3 linked regions of the Drosophila melanogaster genome follow. The protein of the gene in region 3 purifies or fractionates together with the protein of the main gene of each other region. This does not show direct contact. Each region holds a gene or a part of one and is shown on either strand. Other genes may lie near its edges. The genes, in order: Hexo2, CG1092 and CG9372.

Region 1 (7,273 bases), on a different chromosome or scaffold from region 3:
TTTCCTCTGCTGATTTACTTTTTTTTCCTTTCATTTTATTTTATTTCTTATTTTGTTTTCTTTTTTTTTTCATTTCCAGCTCTTGGTTTTTTGTGTAATTTATTTGCCGTTTTGCTTGTAATTTGTTACAGTTTTTTAATCTTGCATTGTTCTAAGCAGCAGCATCCAGGGGCGTGGCCTATGAGGGGGGCGTGGCACACAAGGGGGGGGGGGTGTGTGGCAGTCAGCGCTGACTGACGCAAACGGAATGAAGAACCTAGCGGCTGACGGACTCGGCACTTGCATCCTGTCCAAAGTCGTGCAGAGAAAACAAAGTTCATATCATTTTTTTAAGATCATAATCATAATCATCATATTTCTAAAATCATCAGGTTCTTGTTTGGTTTTGTTGAGTTGCTATTATAAAGTTAAATGCAAATAATTTATATCCATGAAATGAACTAACAATATTTTCTCTCTGTGCAAAAGGGGCGTGGCCCAGGTGAGGGGAGGAAGAGGCCGCAATGTAATCAACATCATAATCAGTGGCGATGAACCCCCAACCCCCTCCCCCCCCCCATCCATTTGAATGCACTCGAAATAAAAGCCCAATATGTTTACTTTTCATTTCACCTTGAGCACTTAACTTAAGTTAAGACTTAAAATTTATAATATTGTTATTAATCGGATAGCTAGCCATTCGGTTTAGAAAGCTTCAGTAATTCTTTTGACCTTATTTTTCCCAGTGCAGACGCATCTGTGCATCTGCATTGTCCTGGAGCGACAGGAACAGCTGCAGCTCCTCATCATCATAGAGTCTACCGCCTTCCCATATCCATAACCATGTCTACATCCAATCCCCGCAGCCTGCCCCAACTCCTCCTCATCCTCCGCCTGCTGATTTCCATTCAGGACCTGATGTCCGAGTTGGGCAAAACTCATTTGGTCCGCCCACATGTGTGAAATCCTGGGGATGAGCGCGTGAGAAGTGCACATATGAGGTATATATCTTGTTCACTTAAATATAATCAAAATGCGTTTACTATTGTTATTGTTATATAAATATGTTGGAAAGCTAACTTACCAGCTACCTTTAAAAGTGGTGAGTATTCAAAACCTTGTTAGTTTTGAAATATGTATGTGCGTATTCAATAGTTTTGTGGCTTCAATGAAGCACGAAAAAGATAGTGCACGGATTATTTCGAGAAAAGTCGTGGTGAGTTTCGAGATCGTGTTGAATGGTGAGTGAGGGGAATCGTAATGTGCAACTATCGCTTCAGCCAACATCCCCGCATCCATCATCTCAACCGCCCGATTACAGCACTCGCACGTACTCTTTTTAATTATTATAATTTTACATTCTAAACACAGAAACGCACACATGCTCACGGGCAACAACAATGGGCAAAAGAATAAAGAGCGAAGGCGGCGCTATCGCATAATTCAAAATTCATTTCGAAGGCGCACAAAAGGCGCCCATGGAATTAAAATGGAAATGGAATTGGAATTGGAATCCAAGCCAGCGACCACATAATAATACATATTATTAATAAAAGAGAGAGAGAGAGAGAGAGAGATGCATGGGCGCATACAAGAACTAGATGTGCGAATGCCGAATACAATAAAATAATAATCAACAATGCCCAGTCGCACACACAAATAATGTTTTTTATTTCACCATTTTTTTTTTTTTTCATTTGTTTTCAACTTCAAAGCTTTTATCGAAATCATAATGAGGGTGGAACAACAGCGCGTTTCGCGACTAAAATTATGTTCCAGATTAAAACAAGTAGATGTTTTGTAAATAAATTTATTAAGAAAGTGATTAGTTAGTTAGTTGCTTTAGCAATATGTTCACTTCGTTGTTAATTTGAAGTAAAATAAATGTTCTTACTCATATTGCTATGAAATCAGTTTGGCTGAGTGGTACACAAATCAATTTGTCACTGATTTAATTAACTTATTAAGCCAATTAAATGGATTTAAAGTAATGTGCATGCAGAGTTTTTATATGAATGCATTCAAATTTATTACCCAACATTACCCATTTCAACTAAGGGAATACATCTTTTATTTTGCCTTACAGTCACGGCCTCAACTGTACGTGCAACAACATGATAATACAAGACGAATCAAATGCGAAAACTCAACGAAAAATCGACGCAGAAACAAATGATAAATACTAAAAAAGCACAAATATAGTTGTGTATCTTTGGAGGGATAAGACGGTGGTTCCATTCCCCATTGCTGAGTTGTTTATCTATCTACTATAAACAATAATTTTTTGATTATTTGTGTTAACTGAAAATTGATACACCGTTCTATCTTGTTTATAATTAACTGCTGCTTTGTTTACCTCGAGGGTGGAAACTCATTTGAATAATATTTTCGAGATGTATTATTGGAATCTTAAATGTTGCAAGTTCAATTGGCATATACTACATGTATCTACATACTACACATGTGTGTATGTACTTATGTTTAATTAATATGCTGGCTTTCTTAACTGCATTTGTGCCGAAATTTGTGAAGAATTAGGTTGATTTAGTTAAATTCTTTTTGGTGTTTTGCACGCTGGCAGTTTTCAAGCCCACGATTATTGTTGTTGCTGCGGTTCTTGCACCGCATATACATACATACATGCATACATATGTATGTATATATTTTCCATTTTATCACTCACCCCACAACTTCCGTATGTGGGCCACTCTCCAGGGGGTGGGGTTTGCTTCAAAGAGTGGGAGATATGCTGATTTCACAGCACTACACAGGCAGAAAAGACGTGGCACTTCATGCATCAAGTGTCCTGTTAGTATAGGGAAGCTCATTTAATAAAGCTGTAAAATCTAATTGCCAAGCATTAATGTGGAGTAGCAGTGTAATGCAAGGACTTGGCGTTTCTCGCAGTGTAATTTCAATCCGCGCTCTCTCGCGCTCTTGCACTCTCTTCAATTCAATTGACGATAAGCTCGACTTGTTATTGCTGTTGTTGCGGCCGCTACTGCGCTGCAAGTGAAATTTCGCTGGATTTATTTTATTCGCTTTTTCGATTTCAGCTCTTCAGTGTTGTTGTGCTCGGCGAGCGGAGCGGGTGGGCGGCCGGTTGAAAATAGCGAATACACCGTACACACCCCCCTAACACAACAAATATAGCAAATACCGAACAGAAATTATAAAAGCGAGCGGCGCAGCCAAAGAAGCCGTTAGAAAGAAACGATGCGGTTCAGCGGCTACAATCGTTATCAGTGCTTTTGCTCTGCTGTTGGATCGCTGCTGCTATTATCCCTATTATCCTTCGCGGTCGGCGCTGCGCTGACGCGGGCAGATGACGTCGGCAGCGACGCCGACGCCGGCAGCGCCAGCAGGTTTGTGTCTTTGCTTCATAAAGGAAATCAGTGCAACAAGTGCAAGTTTTTTTTTAAATACATGTTTTGTTTTGGAAGTATAACAATTTTTGCTAACAAAATGCAGTGAAAATACAAAAAACTGACTGTTCTTTATTTTCAATGAAATTTCAAGTGTTATATGCGCTCAGCAGACTAGTGAAAAAAAGTCCAAAAAGTCCACTACTTTTAAATATATTAAAGGAAATCTATTCATTCTACAAAAGAGAACTTTAAAAAACTGCCAACGGATAACAAATGGTTGGTGTCTATGCTCAGCAGGATATCCAATATCTCCTCAAATAACTGAGAGCAACAAGTGAAATCAGTCTTAAAAACTAGAAAATAAAACAAACAGAAGAAAACAGGTGAAAATTTAACTGTGCCAAATGCATTTACATGTTAATTTGCATTCGCTCCAAGTGCAATTTTCGTAAAGGGAACAAGTGCAAAAGGCAAAGCGACAGAATAAGAACTACTTTCTATGCAGCTGCATATATTATTGAAAAGAATTTGCAATAAATAAAGTGAAATCTGCTTTATGTATCTAAATATATATGTACTTAGCTTTATTATAGCAATATCTTCCGAATTTCCAGGAAATGGCTGTGCAGCCGGACGGATATCTGCACCGCGGAGGGCGAGATGGTGGCCGGACTGCAGTACGCGCCGGAGATCTTCGAGAGCCAGCGGGATTGCCGACTGTCGTGCGGCAAGTACGGAGCCATCTGGCCCATGCCCACCGGCAAGGAGTGCACCATATCGCACAGGCGGGTACGATTCGATCCGTGGAAGGTGCGTTTCCATGTTGTGGCGCCCGGCGAGGCGGCCACCCAGTTTCTCAGGGAGACGAACCGGCTGTTCGTCTCGAATCTGCTGAAGGAGTGCATACGAAACTGCACGCTGGAGACCAGCAAGCAGATTCTGGTCAGATCCACGGTGGCCAACGAGAGCCTCGTTCTGGACTGGCCCACCGACGAGAGCTACGCCCTGGTGGTGCGAACCACTGAAACGGCCACCTTTGTGGACATCCAAGCGACGACGGTGTACGGTGCACGTCATGCCTTCGAGACGCTGAGCAACCTGGTCACCGGCAGCCTGTCCAATGGCCTGCTGATGGTCACCACGGCCAACATCACCGATCGTCCGGCCTTTTCGCATCGCGGCGTCCTTCTGGATACGGCCCGTAACTTTGTGCCGCTCAAGTTTATACGCAGCACCTTGGATGCGATGGCGGCCAGTAAGCTGAATGTGCTCCACTGGCATGTGGTGGACACGCACAGTTTTCCGCTGGAGATCACCAGGGTGCCGGAGATGCAGCGTTACGGAGCGTACTCCTCATCGCAGACGTACTCGCGCCAGGATGCACTGAATCTTGTGAAATATGCCCGACTGCGGGGCATACGGATACTGATCGAGATCGATGGACCCTCGCATGCGGGCAATGGCTGGCAATGGGGTCCTGCCGCCGGACTGGGCAACATGTCCGTGTGCCTGAATCAATCGCCCTGGAGGAGATTCTGTGTACAGCCACCGTGCGGCCAACTGAATCCCCTGAACGATCATATGTACGCAGTGCTCAAGGAGATCTTCGAGGACGTAGCCGAGGTGGGCGCTCCCGAGGAGACCCTGCACATGGGCGGCGACGAGGTGTTCCTTCCCTGCTGGAATAACACCGACGAGATTCGGGATGGGATGCGGGCACGTGGCTACGATCTCAGCGAGCAGAGCTTCCTGCGGCTGTGGTCGCAATTCCATCAGCGGAACCTCAATGCATGGGACGAGATTAACGAGCGTATGTATCCGGGCATCAAGGAGCCGAAGTCGGTGATCATCTGGTCCAGTCACCTCACCAATCCCCGGTACATCGAGACCTACCTGCCCAAGGAGCGGTTCATAATCCAGACATGGGTGGAGTCACAGGATGCCCTCAATCGGGAGCTATTGCAGCGAGGCTACCGACTGATTGTGTCCACGAAGAATGCCTGGTACCTGGATCACGGCTTCTGGGGCAGCACATCGTACTACAACTGGCGCACCGTGTACTCCAGTGGCATGCCCGTTGGTCGCAGCAAGGATCAGGTTCTCGGCGGTGAGGTGTGCATGTGGAGCGAGTATGTGGATCAGAACTCACTGGGTATGTAAACGCTAGGGAACCAAACGGTGAACCAAACCCATTTAATTAAACCCAATCCAATCCCCTACAGAATCCCGAATCTGGCCGCGAGCTGGAGCAGCAGCCGAGCGAATGTGGTCAAATCCAAAGTCTTCAGCCCTGTTGGCCCAAAGAAGATTCTACCGCTACCGGGAGCGACTCCTGGCGCGCGGAATCCATGCGGATGCAGTTATTCCGCACTGGTGCGTCCTCCACGAAGGACAGTGCCTCTAAATCGGTCGTTCCGAACCTAGTTTTAGCACCAGCACATACCATGTACATACCTTTCAAACTATGTTATTTTATTCATCAGTTATTGCCCATAAAGATCTGTTTTTAATCCAATCCAAAATGTGTTTATAATATGCTTTTAATTATCTGGAGTTACGTTTTGTACATTATATGGGTTACAATTACGAAATACCCAATACTATATGAATTCGATTTTATCATAGAAATTAATGAGCTCACTTAATGTAGCCCTGATCGATGGCGTGCTTGAAGATATCAGCCAGTCGCTGCTGCTTGGCGGACTCCTTGAAGGGTGTGATATTCCAGATGTCGGTGAGAATGGCGTTCTCCTTGATTCCATCCAGATCGGCCACCTCATCGTCCTCCATCATCGTCATCGGCAGCGATTCGATGCCCATGCCGCAACCAAAGCGACCAAAGTTCTTTAGCTCCTCTTGCAGTGATTCCCAGGAGATGATAGACTCTGCATTGCCACCGAGATCCTGAATCAAATCCTGGGCGCTCTCCAGGTAGGCGCGGAGCAGCTCATCGTAGTGCTGTTCCCTCAGCTCCTGGCTAGTGCAGGAATAGATGAAGAAGCTCAGGTCGAGGGCCAAGGAGGAGCACCTGGCCAACTGGAAATCAATGATGATGATCTCCTCCGATTGTCCCCGTTCGTTGTACTTGGTCAGAAAGTTGGGCGTCCAGCAATCGCCGTGCCCGAAGACACTCAACTTGGAGCGAGTGGACACCAGATTGATCAGATCATCGAACAGCGGCGGCTGCAGGAAGTTTGTGGCCACAGTCTCGTATTTGCTATTCGGATAGATCTGCTTGACGGCGTCCGTGGCCACATTCTCCGCCAGCAGGAGGAAGCCCGTGTACCACTCGCGGGTGTGTTCGCCATAGTAGGTCTCCTCCAGCGAACCAGCAGCCTTCTCGAAGTTCTTGCTATCCAGGGCATTGAAGGCCAGGGCCACGCCATGGAAACGACCCAGGGTCCGCATCGTCAGCAGGGCATCTTCCAGCGAAATGTAGTCTTGACTGCAAGGTAAGGTAAGGTAATTGAAGTAAATGTAGTTGTATAATTTATAATCAATAAGGGTTAATGGTATTAATGGTAGATATTGAAATAATCTATTGTATGGGAAGTCGACAGATAGTGTAGTTACACTTATTTATAGAAAGCTGATTTCATACGAAAGGGGTGGAGGAGGAGGAGGAGGAATAAACTAACCGTACAGGTGCCCTGTAGCCCCTGGGACCCACATCCTCCAGGGCGATGAAATCGTTGACGCCATCGCACAGGCTGGCCAGGCAGCGGGGGTACTCCACGAAGGGCTTCTTAGGCGCGGGCTGGCGGGACTTCTGGAATGCCTCGATGGCCGGCAACACCTTGGTGTAGAAGTTGATCTCGTTGCGGAAGAATATCACCGAACGGAAGAGTCGCCGACGGTGCAGATTGTCGGGCATGGCCTTCACGATCACACTGATCTCTAGTTGCTTCTCATCCTGGCCCTCTTCC
Region 2 (6,042 bases), on a different chromosome or scaffold from region 3:
AATTAATAAGGCTACATTTTATTAGCTAGGTGTATCTGATAGTCCAAAAAGTCGACTGTTACGTTCTGGTTGTTTCATATCAATGGGATCGTCCGCAATAACAATTCCCCTTTCTAAAACATTAGGCTTGCACGGCTGCAGCACTCCCATCTACACACTGCTTAAGCCGAGCCATAAGAAAAGGGCAGCAATTCCTTGTTAAAAGAATGCTGCGTCGTCGCCCGAGCCTAATGGAATATCCGGCTTCCAACGGATTCCTGCCACTTGCCAATGCCATTATTCAGGGCGAGATGTGCATCATTGACTTGCTGCTCTCGGCCGGTTGCAGCGTCCACATTGGAGATCCGGGAAGCGGCCGGACCCCGCTGCACGTTGGTGACCGCACTAGTCTAAATTGCCAGTTATTAACGAGTTTTAAACCTCACAGCTGGCTTTTTACTACGGTCACCTGCCGTCCGCTCGCATTCTGCTGAACAAGAAGGCCCGCCTGGAGGCGACGGACAGTAACGGCATGACTCCCGCCCACTGCGCCGTTGATGCCAATCAACTGGAAATAGTCAAGTTCGCTCTCGAAGCGGGAGCGAATGCTGAGGCCAGAGACGTCTGCGGCTGGACCCTTCTTATGCGCGCAGGTAGGACTAGAAGGACTGAAACTGCTTAAATCGAATTTAAATTCGCACCTTGCTTGCAGTGGTTATGAACGCTAGCATGGAGCTCATCAAAGTCCTTGTTACGCACGGCGCAGACTTGGCGGCTTTGGATGGTGTTGGCAAAACTTGCACTGACTTGGCGAAACTTTATCACAGACAGGAGGCAAAGGATTACTTTGACGAGGTGCAAAAGTTTAGGCTGGAGAAATCAGTCGCGACCGCAGACGCAGTGACTGCAATAACGAGGTACACCAAAGAAGTTTGAGGAACAGTGGTGGATTTCAAAGAAGAAAAGGACTCTGGCACGGTTCATGATTAAAGCCCACGTGACTAAGTCATCCAATAACGACATTAATCTTAAGGTGTATTTAGTATTTCGCTTGAAACCCCACAATGGCCTACAGTTTTACCAACAAAGCCTGCAGATCGCTGTAAATTAAATTTTTACTAAAGGTATCAAAAGACTAAGGTCGCTATGAATCGTTGAAAATATCCAAAATGGCCAGAGTTTGGATCAATGAAATTCGTTTAGTGTAAATTGAATAATACCATTTACTCGTAGAGTACAAGTGTACACTAGATTCATTGCAATATAAACTCCGAGATCTCGGATTCATCTTTGTTTTAAGTTTTATATCCATTTTTATAATTTGAATACAAAGTCTAGTGTAAGACAGTTATACCCGTTTCTCGTAGAGTAAAAGGGTATACTAGATTCGTTTAAAAGTATTTTATAGATAGAAGGAAATTTTTTCCGACCATAAAAAGTATATTAATTCTTGATCAGGATCAATAGCCGAGTCGATCTGGCCTGGTCCGTCTGTCTGTCCGTCTGTGTGAACGTCGAGATCTCTGGTACTATAAGGTTGAGATTAAGCATACAGATTCTTAAGACATAGAGGCAGCGCAAGTTTGTTGACCCATATTTTGAAAAATGTTTTGATATGTTTTTATAATTTTATTAGACTTGTAAATTTCTATCGATTTGCCAAAAAAATTTGCCACGCCCACTCTAACGCCCTAAAACCGCCCAAAACTGCCACGCCCACACTATTGCAAAATGTTTACATTTTTTTCATAATTTTATAAGTCTTGTAATATTCTATCGGTTAGCCAAACAATTTTTTTCACGTCCACTCTAACGACCTTAAGCTTCCAAACCGGTCACGCCCACACTTTTAAGCCATTTTTAATTTGTTTTTCATTTTATTCCCCATCTATCGATATCCCAGAAAAATTATGAAATTTCGCGTTCGCATTCGCACTAGCTGAGTAACGGGTATCTGATAGTCGTGCAACTCGACTTAAGCATTCTCTCTTGTTTTACATTTCAGTTTTTGGCCACAAGCCGCCCGTATGCATGACCCACGCTTTCAAAATTTTTTATTATATATTTCTTTTTTTTATTTTTTTCCCAACTTCAATCGATATGGAAGAAATTTCTCGTTTGCTCTTTCACTAGCTGAGTAACGGGTATCTGATATTTGGGTATCTTAACTTCGCTTGTTTTTTAGTGAAAGCCATTTTTTTCAAATGGTTTGTACACCTTTATGAGAATGTTATTGCTTTTATTGTATCTCGTAAACTAAATATATGGTAGAAATGGTCTTGATCTTTTAAACACAAGTCATAGGGTTTTCCGTTTGGAATCCACAAGAGTATATGTCGTAAAAGTCCTTGTTCTGTTTAAGGCCCAGATAGAAGACATGCTCGGCCAGATCCTTCCCAAACTCACAGAAGTTCTGAGCGTAAAGAGTAAAAAATATACGCTTGTTGTCAAGATGGTACTTTTGAAGGACGCCATTTTCCTGATCGTATATCCCACTGTTCTGTGGAGGCGAGTTGATCCAGGCGCTGTAGTCTATCCAGGCCGCTCGGAAGCTCTTTAAGTAGATCACAGCCAGCATTCTGGCCTCATCCAGAACATTAACGAACTGCGGCAGCCTTAAACACTCCACATCTTCGCGAAACCGCGTGAAATCACGCTGACGCTCCAGACTATTAAAAAGCATCATGTACAAATGGACCGTAAACGTGGAGTAGAAGTAGGACATGGGCTTGTTGCGGCTCTGAAAGAGGTACATGCTCCAATCCAGCATGGTGCGCTGAACCCCCAATTCGTATGTTGAATTCAGTTTTCTGTGCTGCTCCAGATTGCGAACGTTGTGTTCGTAGCTCTCCCGGTAGATCCGCAGGTCCTTGTACTCCCGGCTCAGGTCTCTAGCATGGAAGTAGACTCGCGGCGTTTTAAATTTCTGCTTATACGTGGCCAGCTTGCTGAGAATGGGATTCGACTCTCTGTCCTTCTGAAACCTGACGACGAAGCGGTCCAAAATGCCCAGAAAGTCATCCAGCTCGTGGGATTCTCCATTGAGCATGTTTTTTGTAACTATATACCCGAAAAGTGGCTTGAAATACTCATAGGTCTCACGATAGCAGTCTTCCAGCGCGTGGTGCACGTTGCAGGAGATGAAGAAGTCCAGCGTCTTCTGCTTAGCCTCGAATGGCTCTGGATCGTTCTGCAGCTCGGTCAGCAACTGCATAAGATCGCCCATTTGCGGCATGTGTCCTTGGATAGGGTATATGCATTAGGCACTCCCCCAACACAGGCTTTCCTCACTTACCCATGATCGAAAAGAGGGGTCGATTGCGGCTACAGACGTAGTCGAAATAGCTCTCGCAGGCATACTTTTCGGTGTTGATGGAGCCCTGTATACGAACCGACAATTTTTCAAGTTCCCTTATCCGCAGCTCCGACAGGTGCCGCACGTATCCCACTTGGCAATGCCCTGAACCAGTCAACATCAACAGAATAAGCGCTACGGATGCGCCGATTGCAAGACTTGAGGTTGTCATCGCAGAGCTCAAGTCACTGGCAACCCAGCTTTTGCGCCAGCCTATCGGACCCCTCAACGGATGTCGGATTTCGTTGCACAGTAGTTCGAGAGAGAGTCACTTTTCAAATACGTCTATCACTGGGCAACGAAACTATTTAACTTCAATTGAAATGTAAGCACAAAACTCCGTATCCCCTGGTATTAAATAACTAAAATAACTTATTGAATGTTTCAATTTTTAGTAAAAACTTTTTTATTACTTTTGACAATATTTAAAAAGATTTTCTGTCCAAGTGGACAATAATTAAATGATTGTGGGCTGACATTGACATAATTTATTTTTATCATAATGAACGTTTGAAAAGCATAGATAGTATTGAAAAATGCCCTATTAGTGCAACTCAGTATATGTTTTTATGGTGTGTTTTCAACATTTTCAACTTATGCTTCTTCAACGTGTTTAACCAAAAATTTATCCGGACTTTAGAAGAACGTTTTGTTGCAGACAGTTACAAACAGTTCTCCAAAATCACAATAATCAATCTTTACCGTTTTACCTTTTTTATTTTATCGCGCACATATAAACGGTCTAAAAACCAATTAAACGCTCACATTCCTATTTTATCATTTTTACTTGAAAATGCAAAAACACCCGAAAGTTCTCGGGTTGTTTGTTGTTTTTATATTGTTGAATTATTAGAACGGATTTATATATGATCTTATTACACTCGCACCACAGTGCATTGCTCAATTCGAGGTCTTATTTTAATTCAGTGAGTGAGTTCCTATGCTTAATTATATTTCCGAAGCGATAAGAATGTCAAGTCCTATCAGGAAAATTTCTCTCCCACTGTTTTTACGATCGCGCTATTCTGGAATATGGGCTTTGCATCGTTTCACAAGTATTACGAGTTATATCTGACTAAGCGTAGACAACAGTGTGCAGTTGCTTATGAAAGGAATGATTTAAATATACATATACATACATAATATACATATATTATATTATATTTGTTGGTTTATAAAAAAAAAGTATTTTTATTGATCAAAAACTTAAGCGAATGTCGGAGACAAATTCACGTCTTACACAATTGAAGTATGAATAAAATCTAAATCTAATTTGCAAAGCGAACGCTTAGCAAACCCTTGGCTGAGCTTATTTACTTCTTCATATTGAGCGTACATAGGCTCTCATTTATGTTTACGTTAATTAGGCGCTCTCTTGAGTGGATTGCGCATGGATATAGATCAGCCGAGTTTGAGCTACGTGGAAAGTTTTGACCCTTAAAGCTGTGTTAGCAGTTTTGACCCTCTGGTGGGAGTCGCGAATGCGGCTGCGGATGTTTATGTCTGTTGGATTGGGTGCCTTCTTGAGTGGATCACTCATGGGTACTGATCAGCCGAGAACTTGAGCTGCGTAAGCGGTTTTGACCCTTTGGTGGGAATAACTGATTCGGCAGCGGATGTTAATGTTTACATTAGGGTAGGCTGGATTTGTTATTGTCACCAGAATTTGGGTTCTTATTGGATACATGATTTTATGACTTATATCCTAAGGCATTCTATGATTTTGTGTATGGCTGTTCCTATGTGGTTATGTATGTGTGTGTGTAAGTATATGTGGTCTTATACTATGGCACATATGCTACTTCCCCATCCTTTAAATTTAGCCTGTCCTCAGGCGGATATTCTAGGATACAATACAGGATTAGTATCAAATACTGTATTTATATTTTCTGTTGTTGTGTTATTTTGTTGTTCTATTTGTTGTGGATTCTCTTTTTTATATTTAACAATTAGTTTTTTGGGAATGCCTTTATATTTATAAATAAAATATAGTATAAGTGTAAGTATTATAATAGCAAGTATAGTTAATGTAATAATTTGTAATGTGTTGTATGTATTAGTGTGTTCTTTAATTATTTCTTTAGCATTTAGATATGATAATGGTTCTAATTTTGTTACATTGTTATTGATATAGACCGTTTGTGTGTAGTCTAGTGTTGTGCTTGTAATTAATATGTTTTCTATTTGAACAGAACAATTAAAAGCTTTTATTATATTGTCTCCTTCTATTATAATTTCTCTATTAATTATACAGTTTTGATTTAATACAATTTTTGATAATTTCCAAGTTAAAATTATGTTTGGTTCTACATAAGTTATTCCAATATTGTTATGTGTTTTTGAATATCTGCATTCTGTTGGTATTTGATTTAATATTCCTGTAATACATTTGTTTATTATTGGTTTTCTTGAGTTTTGTTTGTAAACTTGATTATCTTGAATATAATATTTATCATTTACATTTTCTATAAGTATATTATTATCTTTGTCTGGATATGGTACGATGTTAAAAAGTGCAGTTTTTATAATGTCTCTAGGAATATGGGAAATAATAAGTATTTCATTTGCATCTGATTTTAACCACGTAGAAGTTTTTATATTTAGCAATTTTTCGGAATTTACATGTGATAATGGATCATGTCTTAATAATTTGGGATTAAAAATACCAAGTCTTGTTAATTGCATACCAAGTTCTATATCTTCAATGT
Region 3 (6,812 bases):
AACTCTCCAGGCTCCAACAAAAAATTGGACGCGAAGTAGAGGAAAAAGTCAAGCAGCAACATCGCAAATATATACTCCAGGAACAGTTGAAAGTCATCAAAAAAGAACTGGGCATCGAAAAAGACGACAAGGATGCCATTGGTGAAAAGTACCGCGAAAAGCTGAAGGATAAGGTGGTTCCCGAAGCTATTATGACGGTTATTGATGAAGAACTCACCAAGCTGAACTTCCTGGAGAGTCATAGTTCCGAGTTTAAGTGAGTTCTACAAAATATTTTGGAATTTAGCTTAACTAATATGCTCATACTACTTTTTTTTAGTGTAACTCGCAATTACCTCGACTGGCTTACTTCCCTACCTTGGGGCGTTATCAGCACCGAAAATCTCTGCCTGGAGAAGGCCACTGAAACACTAAACGACGATCACTACGGAATGGAGGATATCAAGAAGCGTATTTTAGAATTTATTGCCGTCAGTTCCCTCAAGGGCTCTACGCAGGGCAAGATCTTGTGCTTTCATGGACCCCCTGGTGTGGGCAAGACAAGCATAGCAAAGTCCATTGCACGCGCTTTGAATCGCGAGTACTTCCGCTTTAGTGTGGGCGGCATGACAGACGTTGCTGAGATCAAGGGACATCGCCGCACCTATGTGGGCGCAATGCCGGGTAAACTGATTCAGTGCCTGAAGAAGACTAAGATTGAAAATCCTCTGGTACTCATCGACGAGGTGGACAAGATCGGCAAGTGAGTAAAAGGCTTTCATTAAGATATACTGTAATATAATAAATAACCTATTTTAGGGGCTACCAGGGAGATCCTAGCTCAGCATTGTTAGAGCTACTAGATCCCGAGCAGAATGCGAATTTCCTGGACCACTACCTCGATGTGCCGGTAGACCTCTCGCGAGTGCTCTTCATCTGCACAGCTAATGTGATCGACACTATTCCCGAGCCTTTAAGAGATCGCATGGAATTGATTGAGATGTCTGGGTATGTTGCCGAAGAGAAGATCGCCATCGCTCGTCAGTATCTGATGCCACAAGCGATGAAGGACTGTGGATTAACGGACAAGCATATCAACATTTCCGAGGATGCCCTAAACATGCTGATTCGCAGTTATTGCCGGGAATCCGGGGTGCGAAACCTGCAAAAGCATATCGAGAAAGTTATTCGCAAGGTGGCCTTCCGAGTGGTCAAAAAAGAAGGCGAGCACTTTCCGGTTAACGCTGATAATCTGACCACATTCCTGGGCAAACAAATCTTTAGCTCAGATCGCATGTACGCAACCACACCGGTGGGTGTAGTCATGGGTCTGGCCTGGACCGCCATGGGTGGTTCATCGCTTTACATCGAAACCTCAAGGCGTCACATTCGCCAGGGGGCAAAAACAGATCCGAACACTGTCGCCGGATCGCTGCACATCACCGGAAATTTGGGAGATGTCATGAAGGAGTCGGCCCAAATAGCCTTAACGGTGGCGCGCAACTTTTTATATTCGCTGGAACCCAATAATCTGTTCTTAGAGCAAGAGTAAGTTTTTTAATTTGCGTTTTCTTATTTTCGTTAATCTATATATGTGGCCCTTACAGGCACATTCACCTCCATGTTCCTGAAGGTGCCACACCGAAAGATGGCCCCAGTGCGGGCATCACCATTATTACAGCTCTCGTATCGTTGGCCACTGGAAAGCCGGTGCGCCAAGATATCGCTATGACGGGCGAAGTATCCCTGAAGGGAAAAGTGCTACCCGTGGGTGGTATTAAGGAAAAGACGATTGCAGTAAGTAAAACAGAAATAAATGATCTATTTGTGTGTAAATATAAATAAATCACCCTCATTCAGGCACGTCGTAGTGGAGTGAATTGTCTTATTCTGCCTGTGGATAACAAGAAAGACTTCGAGGAGTTGCCCACGTACATTACAGATGGTCTGGAGGTTCACTTTGCCACCACCTACGAGGATGTCTACAAGATAGCGTTTACTGATGTAACCGAAACGACAACCAACAATGTTGAAGAGCAGGAGCCGCTGCAGAAGCTTTCCAGTGCGGCCGCTGCCAAATCGGAGACGTGGCCTTATTCTTAGATTTAGCTTGGGGGTGTTGCGGGTGTTGATAGGTTTTATAAATATCTATCGTTATCAGGTTAATTAGTTTATTTAGACCATAGCATTTGTTAATTCTAATGCCAAGTAAATTGAATGTACCATCGAACTGAAGACAGTACTGCGTATATCCTAGACATCTGCATTAGCCAAAATCCAGTCCAGGTAGCGATCCACGCGAGTGTAGATACCCGGGCGACCCCGCTGTCCGCAGCCGACGCCCCAGGACACGATGCCGATCGTGACCCAGCGTTGGTTGGGAAGTTGTACCAACAGAGGACCTCCGCTATCGCCTTGACAGGAGTCCTGACCTCCTTCCGGAAATCCAGCGCACATGGCAGTGTCCGGAACGTGCTGTACAAATGACGACCTGCAATCGGACTGCTTCCAAACCGGCAGGTTAACCTGAAGATAGGAGTAATACATATTTTCTTAATTTAAAAAAGCTTTCTTTGTTATGTTCAGCTTGAGTTACTAAATTGCTGAAACCAATTTGTTTAGATCAATATAAGAAATTGAAAGCTTAAGAACAAAATAAAAACGCTGTATATAAAATGAAATATACTTTAATATGCGACCCACCTCCATGAGGATGTTAGAATGAGGACCGCCAAACTTTTGGGTGCCCCAACCGGTGACAATGGCGTTTCTATCCGACCAATCTTCGTTCACGGGCGGCATGCAAACTGGCCAGATGTAGGTGTTGAATATAGTCGCCCTGTCGATTCTGACAATTGCAATATCATTGTCGTAGTTCTGTGGATTATAATCGATATGGAGCACCATGTTGGCAATCCGGAAATCCCTCGCCCTCGTCTCATTCAGCATATGCGTGTTGTACTCGCCCAGACGCACGAAGATGTCCTCCTTGTTCTTCTTGTAGATGCAGTGAGCGGCAGTTAGGACATGACGGTCGGTGATCAGGACACCACCGCACCAAACGAAGGGCAGACCCTCCTGCAGCAGGGCCGCCATCCAAGGCCACTCGTCTGGCTCGGCTGGCCGTCCACCGGTGAGGCGGGGAAACTGCCTGGACGTGATCCCACAACCTCGCTGCTCCGGCTTATTAACGATGCGCGGCTCATCACCGTCCGCACTGGTCACGACTTGCGGACTAAATCGGTTGCTCGTCGACTGGTCAGTGCAGCAAATGCCTATGGAGCTGAAAGACAAATTATTTGTACATATAATACAAGGATGCCAAGCCATTAAGAAGAAAAATTCATATACCTTTTCTCAATGATGCAAAGCTGGGAGACCAGACGCCAGACATCATTCTTAAGTTCTGGCATGCGACAGTAGATAATGTGGCGACATCGGCCGGATTCACCCAATGGAGTGCTACATGCTCCATAATCCTTGTTCTCCTGCGGTTATCATTTGTAGTTACCTGATACTGGTATGTATGCATAAGACATAAACTCACCAGCAATTGCGAGGTGGGAGCCTGTCGCTTGTTTAGGCGATGTTGGGACAGGAAACTTACGACGCGGTTTTCCCCAGTGCGATTTTCGTATACCTGATTCTCCGACTCCCCCCATTGAAACTCATCATTATCGCTGAAGTCGAGAAGATCTGGGTGGTAGACGAAAATCTTTAGGTTTGGTTTACATTAGATTCTTGGAATTTGTCTTAGAAATATCAAGTATTTGGGTGAAATGAGTTTTAACTTTGATAAATAACTTTGCTATTAAATGCACCTGCACAATTTTTTATGTTGGTATAAAAACGTGACTCACCTAAAAAATCAGTGGATACAGTCTTGGCGATTGTACTCTGCGGGATATAGCCCAGTAAAATCACCAATGCCCAAAGAAATGCCTTCATTTTGAGTTATTTTCGCGAGTGCAGTGGGAATTTTAATCGCGTGTCGCTTCCGTTGCCCGCTGAATCAGTTCTGTTTTGACAGTTCTCCAACCAGCTAAAGCTACTTCTCCGATATGGAGCTGAGCTCAGATCGGCTCAATTTACATACGTCTTGCCTTGGATACTGCTGTTGAACCTGTTCGATGCGTCGACACTATGGGGTTTTCCTGGCTATTAAAGCGTCTTACTCCATGCTCAGTTCCCAGGCGAAAGCTTAATGGGATTGGAACCGCTAGCGATATAGTAACTATTATATAATACTTGAGTTAATCCGAGCACTTGGCTTATCTGTAGGGCGGAAAGCGAGCCACTGAAATGACGTCCCCTTTAATGCCTCTGAGCTTAGACCCAATTTGGTGTATTATCTCAATGTTGCTGGCAACAGCTTGGCAACATGTTGCCAGGGGCGAGTAGTGCCCATGATGATCAGTTTGGATTCTCCGAGGCGAACGTGATGTGCATCGCAAATGATCCGGTTCGGTGGGTTTTGATTCCATAGAAGTATCATCTCCGAAATACTAAGGAAGATTTTATACTCAGTTATATTCTCTATTTAATTGCCTTTTGACGCTTGCACATCAAAGTAGTAATAATAAATCAATTGCACGGCACAACCGGAATCGAAGAAAACATTTGCGATGCACGGTTTGATTGTCACTGCAGAAATGATTTTAATGTCTTAATTTAAAACCCAACCCTTTAACATTTTAACATAATTTAAGTAATAGTATTGAATGATGGAGGCGAAGAAAATGGAATGGGGCGACTTCAGTTGGCAGATTATGTTATTATGTAATAAGACGAATACCGAATAAGTGTACTAAAAAATAAGTTTAAAATAGAAAGCGTCAAACAAATAATTAGTCAAAATATCCTTAAAAAATATTTAAAATATATTATTTTAATATTATTGCGAAGACCATATTTTTATTATTTAACAATTTTTATAGGTAGAGCACTGGATTTGAATTTCTGGGAATATTATATGATCACATATACATATGAATATACATATATGCGGTGCTATAAACTCATCGCTTACCCACTTTATCCTGAAAATTGGTTTAAAAATTATTATTTATTATTTTTTAACAGGTATCTCTAAAATTCGACTATTGTCGTGTCATTCAAATGGTACAAATACAACTTCCTAGTCAACTCAAATGGCGTGCGAGTGTGTTACTTAATTATTAATCCCTGCGATTTAATTACCACCTTTCCCTGCCACCATGATCACCTATAAAACTCTCCTACGACATGGTTACTCAACGTATTTAGCTTTCCGCCACCATGAAGCATTGGAAACGACGCTCTTCCGCTGTTTTCGCGATCGTCCTGCAAGTGCTGGTACTCCTGCTACCCGATCCTGCAGTTGCCATGACGATGGAGCAGTTCTTGACCTCGCTAGACATGATCCGCAGTGGCTGTGCGCCGAAGTTTAAGCTCAAAACAGAAGATCTCGATCGGCTTCGCGTGGGTGATTTCAACTTTCCGCCATCGCAGGATCTTATGGTGAATGCCGCTTTCATTTTGCAGGCACCAGTGTTTGAATCCTTTATCCTTTTAGTGCTACACAAAGTGTGTGTCTTTGATGGCGGGCACTGTGAACAAAAAGGGGGAGTTCAACGCTCCCAAGGCGCTGGCCCAACTTCCGCATCTGGTTCCCCCGGAAATGATGGAGATGTCCAGGAAATCCGTTGAAGCTTGTCGGGATACGCGTAACTACACCCACACTTACCTTTCATAGCTGTAAATATATGTAAGGTATATCTTTGCAGATAAACAATTTAAGGAATCTTGCGAGAGGGTCTACCAGACGGCCAAGTGCTTCTCTGAAAACGCCGATGGGCAGTTCATGTGGCCTTAAAAATGTTTCTGGAAACTAAATTCATACTGGTTCATCCTTTAATGACCAATCCTTGGATGATTGCTTTATTATCTATGTTGAAATCATCAAATAGAATTGGAATTCGTAAAACATAAATTATGACAAGAAAGGAAGTTAGCTTCAAAAAGCCGAAGTATATACTTATATACCCTTGCAGTAATATGATGTTGATTAAATTGAAACCAAAATTTATATATTAAAGACAACTTATGTATACAGAATAACATCAATTTATGATTAAAAACGACGAAACTGTAGTTTGTGTTATATTATTTCATTCGAAACTCTATTTTCCGACTATTCGTATGCCTATATGACAAAGTCGTCCAATTCTGATTGAATCAAAACTGAAATTATATATTGTCAAAGTAACAAAGAACATTTTGTTTAAATTAATTTTTCGATTATGTATATACCCGCAATCGACTGAATTCGATAAGCAAATCTTTTTTTTTGAAAACAATCTTTAATCATATATTTGAAAACCTTTTTGTAGATTAAAATGGCACCCCAAAATATAAACACGCCGCATTGATTTCAAACATGTTATAGTTTATTGCTGATATTATTAACTAAATACAACGGTTTTATGTTTGCATAACGCATACTTATACATTTTGTAATCGATAAACATCCAATTGGCTTAGCAATGCATTCAAACTTAGGGAGATCTTTGCATTCAAGAGGTTACAAAATAAATGCAAATCTTATACAAAATGGTTGCCTTGCAAATCTGCGTACAAAGTTCTCTGTAATCGAGAGTAATCGATATCTTAAATTTCGGTTTCGGTATAGGAGTAGTGTCTTTATATATGTATGTAGATCTCTCCAAAAAGGGTCTCACAAAAATATATCCGATTAGAGCGTGTGTGCGGATTAGTTGATGAATTTGATGAGGATGTTCGAGGAAACCTGTGTAAACAACTAAGAGTCTAATGACATTCACACGTATATATAG

Evidence for each region.
Region 1: the proteins of CG9372 (region 3) and Hexo2 purify together in Drosophila melanogaster (affinity purification with mass spectrometry, with the first as the bait; one large-scale study listed by BioGRID). This does not show direct contact.
Region 2: the proteins of CG9372 (region 3) and CG1092 purify together in Drosophila melanogaster (affinity purification with mass spectrometry, with the first as the bait; one large-scale study listed by BioGRID). This does not show direct contact.

The regions. Positions count from the first base shown.
Region 1 is NC_004354.4:8,706,614-8,713,886, forward strand, and holds Hexo2 (hexosaminidase 2), read left to right. Parts: upstream 1-3,038; 5' UTR 3,039-3,195; coding exon 3,196-3,344; intron 3,345-3,961; coding exon 3,962-5,499; intron 5,500-5,569; coding exon 5,570-5,751; 3' UTR 5,752-5,865; downstream 5,866-7,273. Other genes in the region: CG2004 (uncharacterized protein), read right to left, coding at 5,985-6,792, 6,986-7,273.
Region 2 is NT_033777.3:4,264,438-4,270,479, reverse strand, and holds CG1092 (uncharacterized protein), read right to left. Parts: upstream 3,711-6,042; 5' UTR 3,507-3,710; coding exon 3,275-3,506; intron 3,220-3,274; coding exon 2,267-3,219; 3' UTR 2,164-2,266; downstream 1-2,163. Other genes in the region: flip (flippy), read left to right, coding at 126-371, 428-632, 692-915.
Region 3 is NT_037436.4:19,603,696-19,610,507, reverse strand, and holds CG9372 (uncharacterized protein), read right to left. Parts: upstream 4,301-6,812; 5' UTR 3,928-4,300; coding exon 3,840-3,927; intron 3,676-3,839; coding exon 3,527-3,675; intron 3,468-3,526; coding exon 3,331-3,467; intron 3,263-3,330; coding exon 2,683-3,262; intron 2,652-2,682; exon of another isoform or gene 2,506-2,651; coding exon 2,233-2,505; 3' UTR 2,140-2,232; downstream 1-2,139. Other genes in the region: Lon protease, read left to right, coding at 1-256, 320-742, 799-1,527, 1,587-1,776, 1,840-2,082; lush, read left to right, coding at 5,257-5,478, 5,534-5,684, 5,745-5,833.